Arabidopsis thaliana: one gene and its partner. The protein of the gene in region 1 interacts with the protein of each later gene in a pairwise test. Each region holds a gene or a part of one and is shown in the gene's direction. Other genes may lie near its edges.

The links.
Region 2: the proteins of AT4G24100 (region 1) and AT2G24020 interact in a two-hybrid assay, tested with the Arabidopsis thaliana proteins (one large-scale study listed by BioGRID).

What each region holds. Positions count from the first base shown.
Region 1 is NC_003075.7:12,512,889-12,520,537, forward strand, and holds AT4G24100 (Protein kinase superfamily protein), read left to right. Parts: upstream 1-2,093; 5' UTR 2,094-2,162; coding exon 2,163-2,185; exon of another isoform or gene 2,186-2,309; coding exon 2,310-2,553; intron 2,554-2,665; coding exon 2,666-2,920; intron 2,921-3,001; coding exon 3,002-3,126; intron 3,127-3,216; coding exon 3,217-3,261; intron 3,262-3,497; coding exon 3,498-3,579; intron 3,580-3,671; coding exon 3,672-3,740; intron 3,741-3,858; coding exon 3,859-4,029; intron 4,030-4,110; coding exon 4,111-4,176; intron 4,177-4,264; coding exon 4,265-4,333; intron 4,334-4,438; coding exon 4,439-4,507; intron 4,508-4,610; coding exon 4,611-4,888; intron 4,889-4,991; coding exon 4,992-5,113; intron 5,114-5,204; coding exon 5,205-5,296; intron 5,297-5,367; coding exon 5,368-5,406; intron 5,407-5,487; coding exon 5,488-5,544; intron 5,545-5,621; coding exon 5,622-5,729; intron 5,730-5,818; coding exon 5,819-5,870; intron 5,871-5,957; coding exon 5,958-6,010; intron 6,011-6,092; and 7 more. Other genes in the region: AT4G24090 (homer protein), read left to right, coding at 1-240, 690-1,050, 1,401-1,579; AT4G24110 (NADP-specific glutamate dehydrogenase), read right to left, coding at 7,122-7,649.
Region 2 is NC_003071.7:10,217,142-10,221,241, reverse strand, and holds AT2G24020 (Putative BCR, YbaB family COG0718), read left to right. Parts: upstream 1-1,773; 5' UTR 1,774-1,972; coding exon 1,973-2,033; intron 2,034-2,256; coding exon 2,257-2,399; intron 2,400-2,536; coding exon 2,537-2,637; intron 2,638-2,728; coding exon 2,729-2,768; intron 2,769-2,990; coding exon 2,991-3,062; intron 3,063-3,149; coding exon 3,150-3,206; intron 3,207-3,298; coding exon 3,299-3,373; 3' UTR 3,374-3,541; downstream 3,542-4,100. Other genes in the region: AT2G24030 (zinc ion binding / nucleic acid binding protein), read left to right, coding at 1-24, 114-248, 358-1,059; scpl23 (serine carboxypeptidase-like 23), read right to left, coding at 3,700-3,846, 3,919-4,024, 4,092-4,100. UniProt on the Arabidopsis thaliana protein: Participates with ALB4 in thylakoid protein targeting. May function with specific subset of thylakoidal proteins. Binds to DNA and alters its conformation. May be involved in regulation of gene expression, nucleoid organization and DNA protection.

The sequences.
Region 1 (7,649 bases):
GATAATGTAGCAATTTCGAGTGACGGCGGAGATTTGAAGAATTCTCTGTCCGGTATTGTGGGAAATCAAGTGGAGGAGCTATTGAGCAGAGAAGAGAACAAAGGTTTGCTTGATGGTCTGGAAAAAGCTTCGTTGAGAGTGGAGATTGCGAAGAGAGAGCTCGAAGATATAGAGAGACAAGAAATTGAGGCGAAATTGCTACAGGATTATATTAATCAGCTCGAATCAAGAGCCGCAGAGGTGAGAGCTTGTTCTCGAAATGGTGTTAGATATGAAAATGATTGAACATTTGATTCTTTTGCTCTTTGGAATTTGAGGTTTTTGGGAGGTTCTACTATAGAGTATAGATTAAGGTTGCATTGAGAATGATTGGTTTATATTACAATGGACTAGTGAATTTGTGCAGTATATATTTATATGCCAGGATAAGCTCAAGTTGTGCATTGTATGCTTAGGATAGGATAGGTAATTCAAAGTATCAATCAATATCAATGGTGTTGCTTTTGTGCTTGAAACCTGGAAATGGGGTTTCTCTTAGTTTGTGTGAAGGTACTTCATTAGATAAGGTTACTAACTAAATCATGAGTTTGGTTGCATTTTGTGTTTTCTCGTGTTTTGGAACAAAGTCTCTAGTTTGGTTTTGTATTTGTAGACAGAGCATGTTAATCTTATTCAATATCTGATTCAAGATTGCAGAATGCCAGCAGGAGATTGACGCAGCAAGATCAATGGTTGAGGAAGCAGAACGCTCCTTGTCATTAGCAGATAACTCGACAATTGGAAGTTCGGAGAAAGGTTATTCGATTGATAAAGACAAGGAGAGGTTAGAATCTGCAAAAGCGGCAGTGATCGCAGCTGCGGTTGGGACCATTGCGGAACTCCCATTTGCTCTTTCTCAAGTCGCAAGCATGGAGCAGCTTGTTCTGCCCCTGGGAATAGCGTTTGCAAGCTGTGCATTGTTTGGAGTCACATTCAGGTATGCAGTCAGAAGAGACTTGGATGATAATCATCTCAAATCCGGAGCCGTTGCAGCTTTTGGGTTTGTTAAAGGTAACAACACATTTGATTACTGTTTCTATCTAACTTCTTTGAATTGTTCAAAAGCAATTGCGTTTTGTGATTGAATAAGCTTAACAGAAATGGTAAAAGAAAAAGACTTTCTTTGTCTTTGTCATGTTATATATTGTGTGGAAGTATGAGCTGGCAAAGTTCCCATCGTTGTCCCGCCCTTTGGTTGTTTTTAAATTATAATCTGCCAGTAATAGATTACTAATCAACGATTTGATTTATTCTAAATAATTGATGAGTTGATTATTAGTCTCTGACCTGTATTATTTGGATCTGTCTTTTTTTAAAAACAGATTTATTATAGATTCGATTTTTTTTAATGTGTTATATAGGACTTGGTATGTTGAGCAGAGGACCGCCATTGGAGCTGAGCTGGGAAAGCTTGTTTTCACATGGGATAGACGGCGCCGTTTTGGTGTCTCAGAGCGTCTTGATATTTGCGTTTGCGTCCATAGGTTTGGACTTCTGTTTCAAGATGAAGCTCTTAAGACCATTTCCTAGCTCTGACTAGATTGAAGAGCAAATTAAAAATGTAGAAATGAACAAAATCTTCTTTTGAAGACTTTATTTGTTTTTTTTTATATTATTAATTTTGGTCTAAAATGTAAATGTTTCATCCTAGATTTTTATGATCTTTAACTTGTCACAAAAAAAGTTACACCTGATTTTAAAAGCATGATCATAAGGAATATTGAATTTAGAATGATGAATCCATACATAATTCAAATTTTGCTATAAAAAATGAATCAGTTGGGATAATTCTTTCTTTTAACTTTGTATAAAAAGTTATGAGGAATATTTATCTTTGTCAAGTGATGAAGTGATTAGTGACTTGTGAACTTAACCAAAGAGGTAGATGGGGTCAAGGCCATTCCTAGCCATTCATTATTTATAGTAAAGCCACGTGTAATAATCTTAGAAGCTTACAGATATACCACGTCAGCACAAAACAGTTCTTTTGTCTTTCGATCGCTCTCAAATCGCGTTTTGTCGTGGAGGTCAACTGATCAGAAAAATATAGCAAGCAGAAAGTGAAAAACAGCTGAATTATTATTTTTCTATACAAAAAATTAAAAAATTAGTATCCAATTTCAATGGGGTTTCGACTTGTTCTCGAGTAAACTACTAGTCTCTATCTCTCTCAGCTCCAGATTTTGTTTCTTCTTCTTCTGTGTTAAATTCATTTGATTTGTTGTATCTGAAGGCGAAATTACTGGTTTCTGATTTTTGGTGGTATTCAGGGCGGTTTTAAAGCGACGGAAGAAGATGGTGGGAGGAGGAGGAGGTAGTAGTGGTCGTGGTGGTGGTAGTGGTAGTGGTAGTAGTAAGCAGCAGAGAGGTTTCTCTATGAATCCTAAAGACTATAAGCTAATGGAAGAAATAGGCCATGGAGCTAGCGCTGTTGTCTATCGAGCGATCTATCTCCCTACTAATGAAGTCGTCGCCATCAAGTGTTTGGATCTCGATCGCTGCAATAGCAATCTGGTTCGTTTTCCTCCATCTTATTATTGCTTATGAATTAGAGAGGCTTTAGCTTTTGTCGTAGATCTCTTGTTTTATGAATTTAATGTATTTTTGTTTTTGTTTTGGTTGATAGGATGATATTAGGAGGGAATCTCAGACTATGAGTTTGATAGACCATCCCAACGTTATAAAGTCGTTTTGTTCATTCTCTGTCGACCATAGTCTTTGGGTTGTTATGCCATTCATGGCTCAAGGTTCGTGTTTGCATCTTATGAAGACTGCGTATTCAGACGGATTTGAAGAGTCTGCTATATGTTGTGTATTAAAAGAAACTCTTAAAGCTCTTGATTATCTTCATAGACAAGGCCATATCCATCGGGATGTTAAGGTTAGTGAAAGTGAAAAAAATTCAGCTTCATGGATCCATGTATGTAATATATTCAAAATTTGTTGTTTCTTTGCAACTTAGGCTGGAAACATACTTCTTGATGACAATGGTGAGATTAAGCTTGGCGATTTTGGTGTCTCTGCTTGCTTGTTTGATAACGGTGATAGGCAACGTGCTAGAAACACATTTGTTGGTACTCCTTGCTGGTTAGTTATTTAACTTCTTTCTTTTTGTATTTTAACCATCACTCTTAGATTCAATGGTTTACATTTAACCTCTTTGCTTCTGTTTTGTAGGATGGCACCGGAAGTTTTGCAGCCGGGAAATGGATACAATTCCAAGTGAGTTTACTTTAAGCTCAAATACTAGATAAAACGTTTATATTTTCTGCTTGTCTAAGATAGAAAGTAGCGTACTTTGGTATGTATGTATGTTAAGACAACTTGTCAAACTACTCTGCCTCTAATCCGAATGTAAACATATTTGCTTGGTGATGCATATCAGTTATATTTGTACTGTGGAACAAAGAAATGCAATAATTGCTTATTGGTTGGTTGTTCTTCTCATTTCTTAACAGGGCTGATATCTGGTCATTTGGTATAACAGCACTTGAATTGGCCCATGGTCATGCACCTTTCTCAAAATATCCTCCCATGAAGGTGCTTAGTATTTCTTTCTCTTTTTCGGCTTATGTGTATATTTTGCATCTATTAAAACGGTTCTGATTCTTTTCTTTTTTCCCTGGTTACAGGTGCTCCTAATGACTATTCAAAACGCACCTCCTGGCCTTGATTATGACCGTGATAAGAAATTTTCTAAGGTACTCGTGTTCTTTCTAGGTGTATTTCTTATGCTGTTCTAGTTTTGCTAGATTTTCTGTTTTTTCATTTGCAATAAATTTTTACTAAACTAACTAGAGGACTTTCAGTTGTGCCCAGTCCTTTAAAGAAATGGTTGCAATGTGTTTGGTGAAAGATCAAACAAAAAGGCCAACTGCTGAAAAACTGCTGAAGCACTCCTGTTTCAAACACACGAAGCCTCCAGAGCAAACTGTGAAAATTTTATTTTCCGATTTACCACCTCTTTGGACACGTGTAAAATCTCTTCAGGTTAGCCATGCTCTTTGTGTTTCAGCTTTTTTGTGGAAGTGATGATGTTCTTACCTTTTGTATCGGGTTGTTATATGACAGGATAAGGATGCTCAACAGCTTGCATTAAAGAGAATGGCCACTGCTGACGAGGAAGCTATATCACAGGTGACACACCCCTTATATTGACAACATTACCTAAATACTTAATGAGTCGAATTGCAGAGTGGGCATAAAACAATATTTTTAATGTCAGAGCGAATACCAAAGAGGAGTGAGCGCTTGGAACTTTGACGTCAGAGACTTGAAAACACAAGCATCTTTGGTAATTTACTTCTCGCAAGCTATCTGTGATTGCACTATCCTTAAATTTCTGTTCATTGGTTTCATCACATAATCCCTGTTTTTATATTGTTTGTTTGTGTACTAGTTAATTGATGATGATGATCTAGAAGAGAGTAAGGAAGATGAAGAAATATTATGTGCACAGTTTAATAAGGCGAGTACTATGTAGATAAAGTTCAGAAAAATGCATCTATAAAATTTCACTTCCTTGGTATGCAAGTTTGGTTGTCTGAACATATCTTAGAAAATCCCTGCAGGTGAATGACAGAGAGCAAGTATTTGATAGTCTGCAACTATATGAAAACATGAACGGAAAAGAAAAGGTTTCCAATACTGAGGTGGAAGAACCAACCTGCAAAGAGAAATTCACTTTCGTTACAACTACTTCTTCTTTAGAACGAATGTCACCAAATTCAGAGCATGACATTCCCGAGGCCAAGGTTAAGCCATTAAGACGCCAAAGTCAGAGTGGACCACTTACAAGCAGGACTGTATTAAGCCACTCGGCTTCAGAGAAAAGTCATATCTTTGAAAGGTTTGACATTTGCTAATTGCTGTTTGAGACTACACTTTAAATCTGCTTGTCCTATATATAGTACCTTTCAAACAATCCAACTTGTTAATTTTCTATCTGCTAGATCCGAGAGTGAACCGCAGACGGCACCAACAGTCCGAAGAGCACCCAGCTTTAGTGGTCCTTTGAATCTTTCAACCCGTGCTTCTTCAAACAGTTTGTCTGCTCCCATCAAATACTCAGGAGGTGAGCAAGTGATATAGGCAGTCTTCGTCCAGCTTAGTGGTTTTATTGCTTCTCTTGCAGTTGAGTTAAAGGTTTTGTCCATTTCGAATAGGATTCCGTGATTCTCTGGATGATAAGTCAAAGGCTAATCTGGTTCAGAAAGGACGATTTTCAGTAACATCAGGAAATGTAGATCTTGCGAAGGTTGGTATTTAATTTACTGCTATTAATTTTCCTATTTCTTTGACGGTAACTAACAATACAATCTACTCTAGGATGTTCCATTAAGTATAGTCCCTCGTCGATCTCCACAGGTTGGTTTCTTGTCTCTGCTTATTACTGTAGACTGGTTCTTCACCTTTGTTAGTTACCTGATAAATTATACATAATTCCAGGCGACCCCCCTGAGAAAATCTGCAAGTGTGGGTAACTGGATACTTGAGCCCAAAATGGTCAGTTTGCGATCACAAAGTGTCCTTCAAGTCATTCATTTCTGTATCTTAATCTTAGTCTTATTTCTATCTTGCAGCCAACAGCTCAGCCTCAGACGATCAAGGAGCATAGTAGCCATCCTACGTCTTCCTCACCCATCATGCCTCAACTTCAACATCTATTCCAGCAAAACTCAATACAACAGGTGAGGAACATCCATTAAGACATGAGACTTATCTCTTATTAATTAATTAGCAGGATCTTAACTTCTGCAATTGAATGATTTCGCTGCAGGATCTTATTATGAATTTACTAAATAGCTTACAACCCGTGGAGGCAACAGAAGGTAGTATAGACAATTATACTTCAATCTGCTGTGACTTTATTATTGATTGAAGACTATTCAGTAACGGTGCCTTCATCTTTCTTATAGGTTCTCAATCTGGGAAGTTACCACCTTTGCCTCGCTCAGACAGTAATGGAAACGTAAGTTGATTTTTCATATATGTTCTGAAAACTTTCATAAAGATATTGCTCACAGCTATGTAACTATTACTATGGATAACAGGTTGAACCTGTGGCTTCAGAGAGGGAGAGGTTACTTCTTAGCAGTATCTCCGACCTCCGTGCTAGGTTAGTCCTCTTCTTCAAGCAAAGCTTTTGTTTCTAAAGAATAATGTAGTTAGTCTTTCTAAGTGGATCTTCCTGCAAGCTTTAACTGCCAAAATCTTCAGGCTGGACGACTTAACGGAGGAACTCGATATAGAGAAATCAAAATACAGCCAAGTAAGTTAACACATTTTCAACTCGTTAAAACGCAATAATCTGCTTGTTGTGTTTCGTGTCATCAAGCAAATCTTTCGTTTATGTTTGTGTGTACAGCTGCAACAGAAATTGAAAGCATTCACGGGTCGCGAACACTAAGTGTAACCAGAGGGAAAGCGACACTGGAAACACTGAACTGCACAGAACCTGTAGGAGAAAGAGTGAAGTCTCTTTTGGTTATAACAGTAATAACCAGACAAGAGCTTAGAGACAGTGAGGCATAGAGCATATCAATTTCTTTAGTTGGGTTCAGTGTAGGTTCCAGACGATGACAATGACGACTAAAACAAGATACGACCGATGTCTGCTTCTGATGTAAACTACTAGTTGAAGACAACAGAAACGAATACAGAAATAAAAGAAAAGGAGAAGAAAGTTCCTTTGGGGGGTCTCAACCCCACATATATTTGCTTATATATTTATTATCACACGTTTTGATCATTTTTTGTTTTATTTTGTTTGGTGTATCATAATTTACTAGTGAGATAAAGGAGAAAGCTCTTCTTTTGGGTTCTTTGTGTATTGTAATTTGTAAATGCAAATTGATTGATGTACTTTTGTGTTTTCATCACATTCTTAAACATTATCTTCTGGTTTTACCTTATTTTTTCAAGTTGAGAGGATTCAATTGAAAATTTGAAACTAGAAAGTTCATTGCTCTATGTTCGAAGAAAAATGAACTCTCGACTATTGTAATCAAAATCATGGTTTTTTTACATTTATGTTCCAACGTTATTGTACAATTACACTGATTGATTGATTACACAAGGAATTAGAAGAAGGTTCTTCTTGTCCTTCTTCTTCTCCCACTTGTCAAGGTTTTGGTAGAGGCTTTAGACACTAAATAGCCCACACCCAAACACATAACCCAAATCCCCAAATCTACGGCCCATCCCATTCCTTCTGTCTCAGACTCCATCTCAGCCGTCCATTCCACCTCTTCCCACTCTCCCTCTCCGTCGTCAGATTCGCCGCTACACGTGCAAAAACACACGCCGCCGTCAGAATCCCTCCCTTCCTCTCTCTCCTCCGGTATCTCCTCCAAACACTCAAACCCAATCTTTTGCTTTCTCCTTCTTCTATGTTTCCTCGCCATCGTCGCTGTTGCCACGTGTCCCTCCGCCGCAACAACAACTTCCGCCGCTCCTTCCTCTTCCATCTCACACTCGCACTCAAGTTTCCACTTGTCTCCTTCGTCTTTTCTGAAAATACCTTTTATCACCCTCTCCTCACTCATGTACACCTCGAAGCGGATCCCTTCCCAGACCCGAACACGTTCTCTTGACCCGTAAATCACGTC
Region 2 (4,100 bases), on another chromosome or scaffold:
AATAAAGAGAATTTGATTGTATTGGTGAGTTCTTTAAGTAATGGTAAACATAAATGATAGAGTATATATAAGCCTTTGTTTCATATGTGTTCTCTTTGATTTCTCTATTGCAGAATAGAGCTGATATTATAGGAGCTAAGCCTAAAGCAGACAGTGTTGGTACCATGCAATTGCCTAAACTTCAGCAAATGCCTGAGGCTACAGGAACATCAGTTTTGGAGTCTAACAAAGAGCAGTTTATTGTATTGGTAAGTGTTTTACTACGAGTGTGATATCTCATCTTTTCTATCCACGTACTTTCCTTACTTGCTTATAACAAATCCTGACCATATGTGTTCTCTTTGATTACTATTGCAGGCTAGAGCTGATCCTGTAGGAGAAAAGCGTAAAGCAGAGGATATTCAAACTGGTTTGAACGAAGATCTTCAAGTGAAAAGGCCGAAAGCAAAAGAATCAGAAGCAAAGGCGATGTCTTTGGAAACCGGAGAAATAGTCTCTTCGAAGGTTCCTTGTTCAGGGAAACTTGGCAGTGGAAAGAAAGCAGAAGGTAAGCTAAGAACTAACCAGAAGTTTTGGTGTGAGATTTGTAAAGTTGGGACCTATTGTCAAATAGTCATGAGGGATCATGAGTTAGGTAAAAAGCATAAGGCTGCTGTTACACAACAGAATGAGACACCTGAAGCTGCTTCAACCTCCTTATCCCCTGCTTCCGTTACAGCACCGCAACCAGAAGCCATTAGAGTATGTGAAAATGCTAATCCGCAGGGTCAAAAAGTAGATGAAATTGCGGCGAAAGAAACAACGGGAAAGAAGACAAAAGGTGAGAAGAAAAAGAAGGAAACGGTTTGGTGCAAAACTTGTAATATTCAGACGAATTCTGAGCAGACGATGAGGAATCATACGCTTGGGAAAAAACACATGGCTTTGCTTGAGAAACAGCAGAATAAACTCATTACAGTCCCAGTGAGATCTCTGAATGCTGATCCAGGACAGAAAGAATCAGTATCTCTAGCAATGGATGATACACAAGGTAAGGTTCATTGCTTGGAGAAGTCATAGAAGATTCTTTGTAACTTTGTTAGATTATTTTATATCAACTTTTTTTACCAAAAAAACCTTTGTTAGGTCATGACAATATACCATGAGGAATCAGAGATTGAATTCATGAATTTATTTTTATTTTTTCTTATGCAATGTGACAGTAGGAGATTTGCATGATGTTTTTTTTGTTGTGAGATTGAGAATCATGAGAATAATAACCAATGCCATTAGAGAGACCAGAATAAGTGTATAGATCATGATTGCATTTTGGAGTGTGTGTTGTCTTATGCTTTTATCATATGTTTTACAAACTTACAACTGTACAAGCAGAGTATGTTTGTTTGGACATGATACGATGATAAATGTCTTCTTTCAGGAGAGGCCCAAAATGGTTTGCCTAGAGGTATTTCAAATGTTTGGGGTGAGTCTCTCTATACATAGAGGGTATATAGACAACTCCACAATCAATCAATAGTTCTTCTCGCAATACAGCTCCACAAGACCACAACACATATGACCATGTCCCATACATAGAACCACGAAAGATGGTTCTATTGTAGCATGTTTTTTTTTTTTTTTGGTTTAATGAAGCATGTTACAATCTCTGATAAAGTTTCATCTATACTAGAAATTGAATTTTTCGAAAATCGAATCAATATCTGATGTAAGAACATTTTACGTTTGATCACTCAATTTCGTACTGAAAGTGTATAAACTTTAAAGTTGCGACTTCTTCACTAGAAAAGAATGGTACAAAAACAATCTAAGCTCAAAAAAAGAGTTAAAGTGACGTGGCGCAAAATCATTGGTTAAAAGCTTCAACAAACACAGAAGCTACGAACAAGTTGCCCGGAAAAAATTAGCTTCCGGTTTTATCTTCTCGAATTTCAGAAAAAAAGCCCTTCTCTAATATCTCTCTACTCGTACAACAATGGCGTCGATGGCTGCAACCACCAATTTCACCAAATCTATGCTCTTTCCATTCTCTCATGGTTAGTCTCTCCTAAATCCCTACTTCTATCTCTCGCTTAAGGTTTCGTGACACTGGATTTTGAGTCTTTATGTATCTGTCGTACATTAGGTTTCATCTGAATTTGCTTAATCTTTCGTAATTAGACTTTTCTATTCCATAATTGGAGGAATTGAAGCGTAATTTTGTATTTATAAGTGTTTTTGGGATTGAAATGGGCTTTAGTAATTTTTTGGTTTGAATAGTTTCAGGAAATGCGAGCTTGAATTCGCAGAGAAGAACATGGCCAAAGCAGTACAAGTCTAAAAATGGTTACAGGTCTCTTCGAGTGAATGGATTATTTGGAGGTGGAAACAAAGATAATAACAGTGAAGATGGACAATCAAAGGTTGGTACATTACATTGGTTTTTTCAAATATCAAACAGATTCTGCAATAGGTGAACATTTTAAGTTAGGCTTCATGTTGTAAAGATTCAAAGTTTATGATTTTGGAACTAATGAAGTTTGTGTGTGATCTTTCCTAGGCAGGAATATTTGGTAATATGCAGAATATGTATGAGACTGTGAAGAAAGCTCAAATGGTTGTTCAAGTGGAAGCTGTACGTGTTCAAAAAGAGTTAGCTGCGTAAGTCCGGCACATTTATCATACAAAATTTGAGGAAGTTTTCTTCTATGAGTAATGAGTTTTGCATGTTGGTTTTGTTCCAATTTCGCAGCGCAGAATTTGATGGTTATTGTGCAGGCGAGCTTGTCAAGGTCAGTTTAGAGCTTGTTTTGGCCTTAAGATAGATCAATGCACATAATAGATCAGTGAAGTATTAACTAACGTTTACTTGATGATGTAAGAACTGTGTTTTCTGATTTGTTAGTCTTTGGATGATTTGGCAAGAACTCCACTCTAGAATCTCAAAACTTTGTTTAGTCTTTATTGTTTCTGTTACAAAGTCTGATGACCTAAACCTTATGAATTTGTGTCAGGTTACGTTATCAGGTAACCAGCAACCAATCCGTACTGATATTACCGAGGCAGCAATGGAACTAGGTTCCGAAGTGAGTAACCATACGTACCTTGTTATGGAACAGTCAAAGCTAATTCATCAGTTTCTCTTGTTGATGTTGTGTGTTTTCCTTTGGCAGAAACTATCACAACTTGTCACAGAAGCATACAAGGACGCACACGCCAAGAGTGTGGTGGTATAGCAATTTGCAGACCATTTATCACAATGCAACTAAAGTATTTGTTTCTATCCATTTCTTCTAATTGAACTTTGTGAATTTTTTCACAGGCTATGAAAGAGAGAATGAGTGACCTTGCGCAGAGCTTAGGAATGCCACCGGGTCTCAGCGAAGGAATGAAGTAAGAAGCTGTTTTTGTTGTTTCATTTCAACTTTCAGGTATGAGAGGTTCGGCTTTTTTTGTTTGTTTGTATATCAGTCAGGCAGAAGCAAAGAGCTTTGTACTCTACTCTTATGGAATTATATATAAAAGATTTGAAACTTTTGGTTTTCTGCAATTTTATTCCCAAGGTATCAACACAATTGTTCTAGTATCAACATATATCTTCTTCGAATACAAGAATGCTTTTAGTGTCTTATGAAATCAAGTTGATTTGAAACATAAAAATTTCAAAAGAAAACACCGAGTTAACTCGGGTTTTGGAGGGAGCCTTCTATCTTATGTGTGTGACTAATAAGATCTTGGAAGCTCTTTGCCGGCCAAGAACGATCTTAAAAGAGTGAGAGCACGCTCGGGTTGCAACACCGGCACTTCGTGGCCCGCCCCTCTTATCGTCGCAAAGGTAAGCCCCTCATATACCTCTGTCCATCCTCCCACCTGACACCACCACCATGAGAAATCACTAGCTCTGCATAATAAGAATAGAACCACGAATTTGATGAAAATTACCTGCTTTTCGGAGTACCAAGGGTACCAGGGAGTTTTCACCGGAAGATTGAGTTTACTGAGGGCAAGTCGAGTCCCAGTCACTGGAACCACTGCGTCTGTATCGCCACTACATCAACAAAATGTGGTTAAAGGACACGAAAGGTACTTTACTTGCAGCTAGTTTCATGGTTTACCTAAAGACC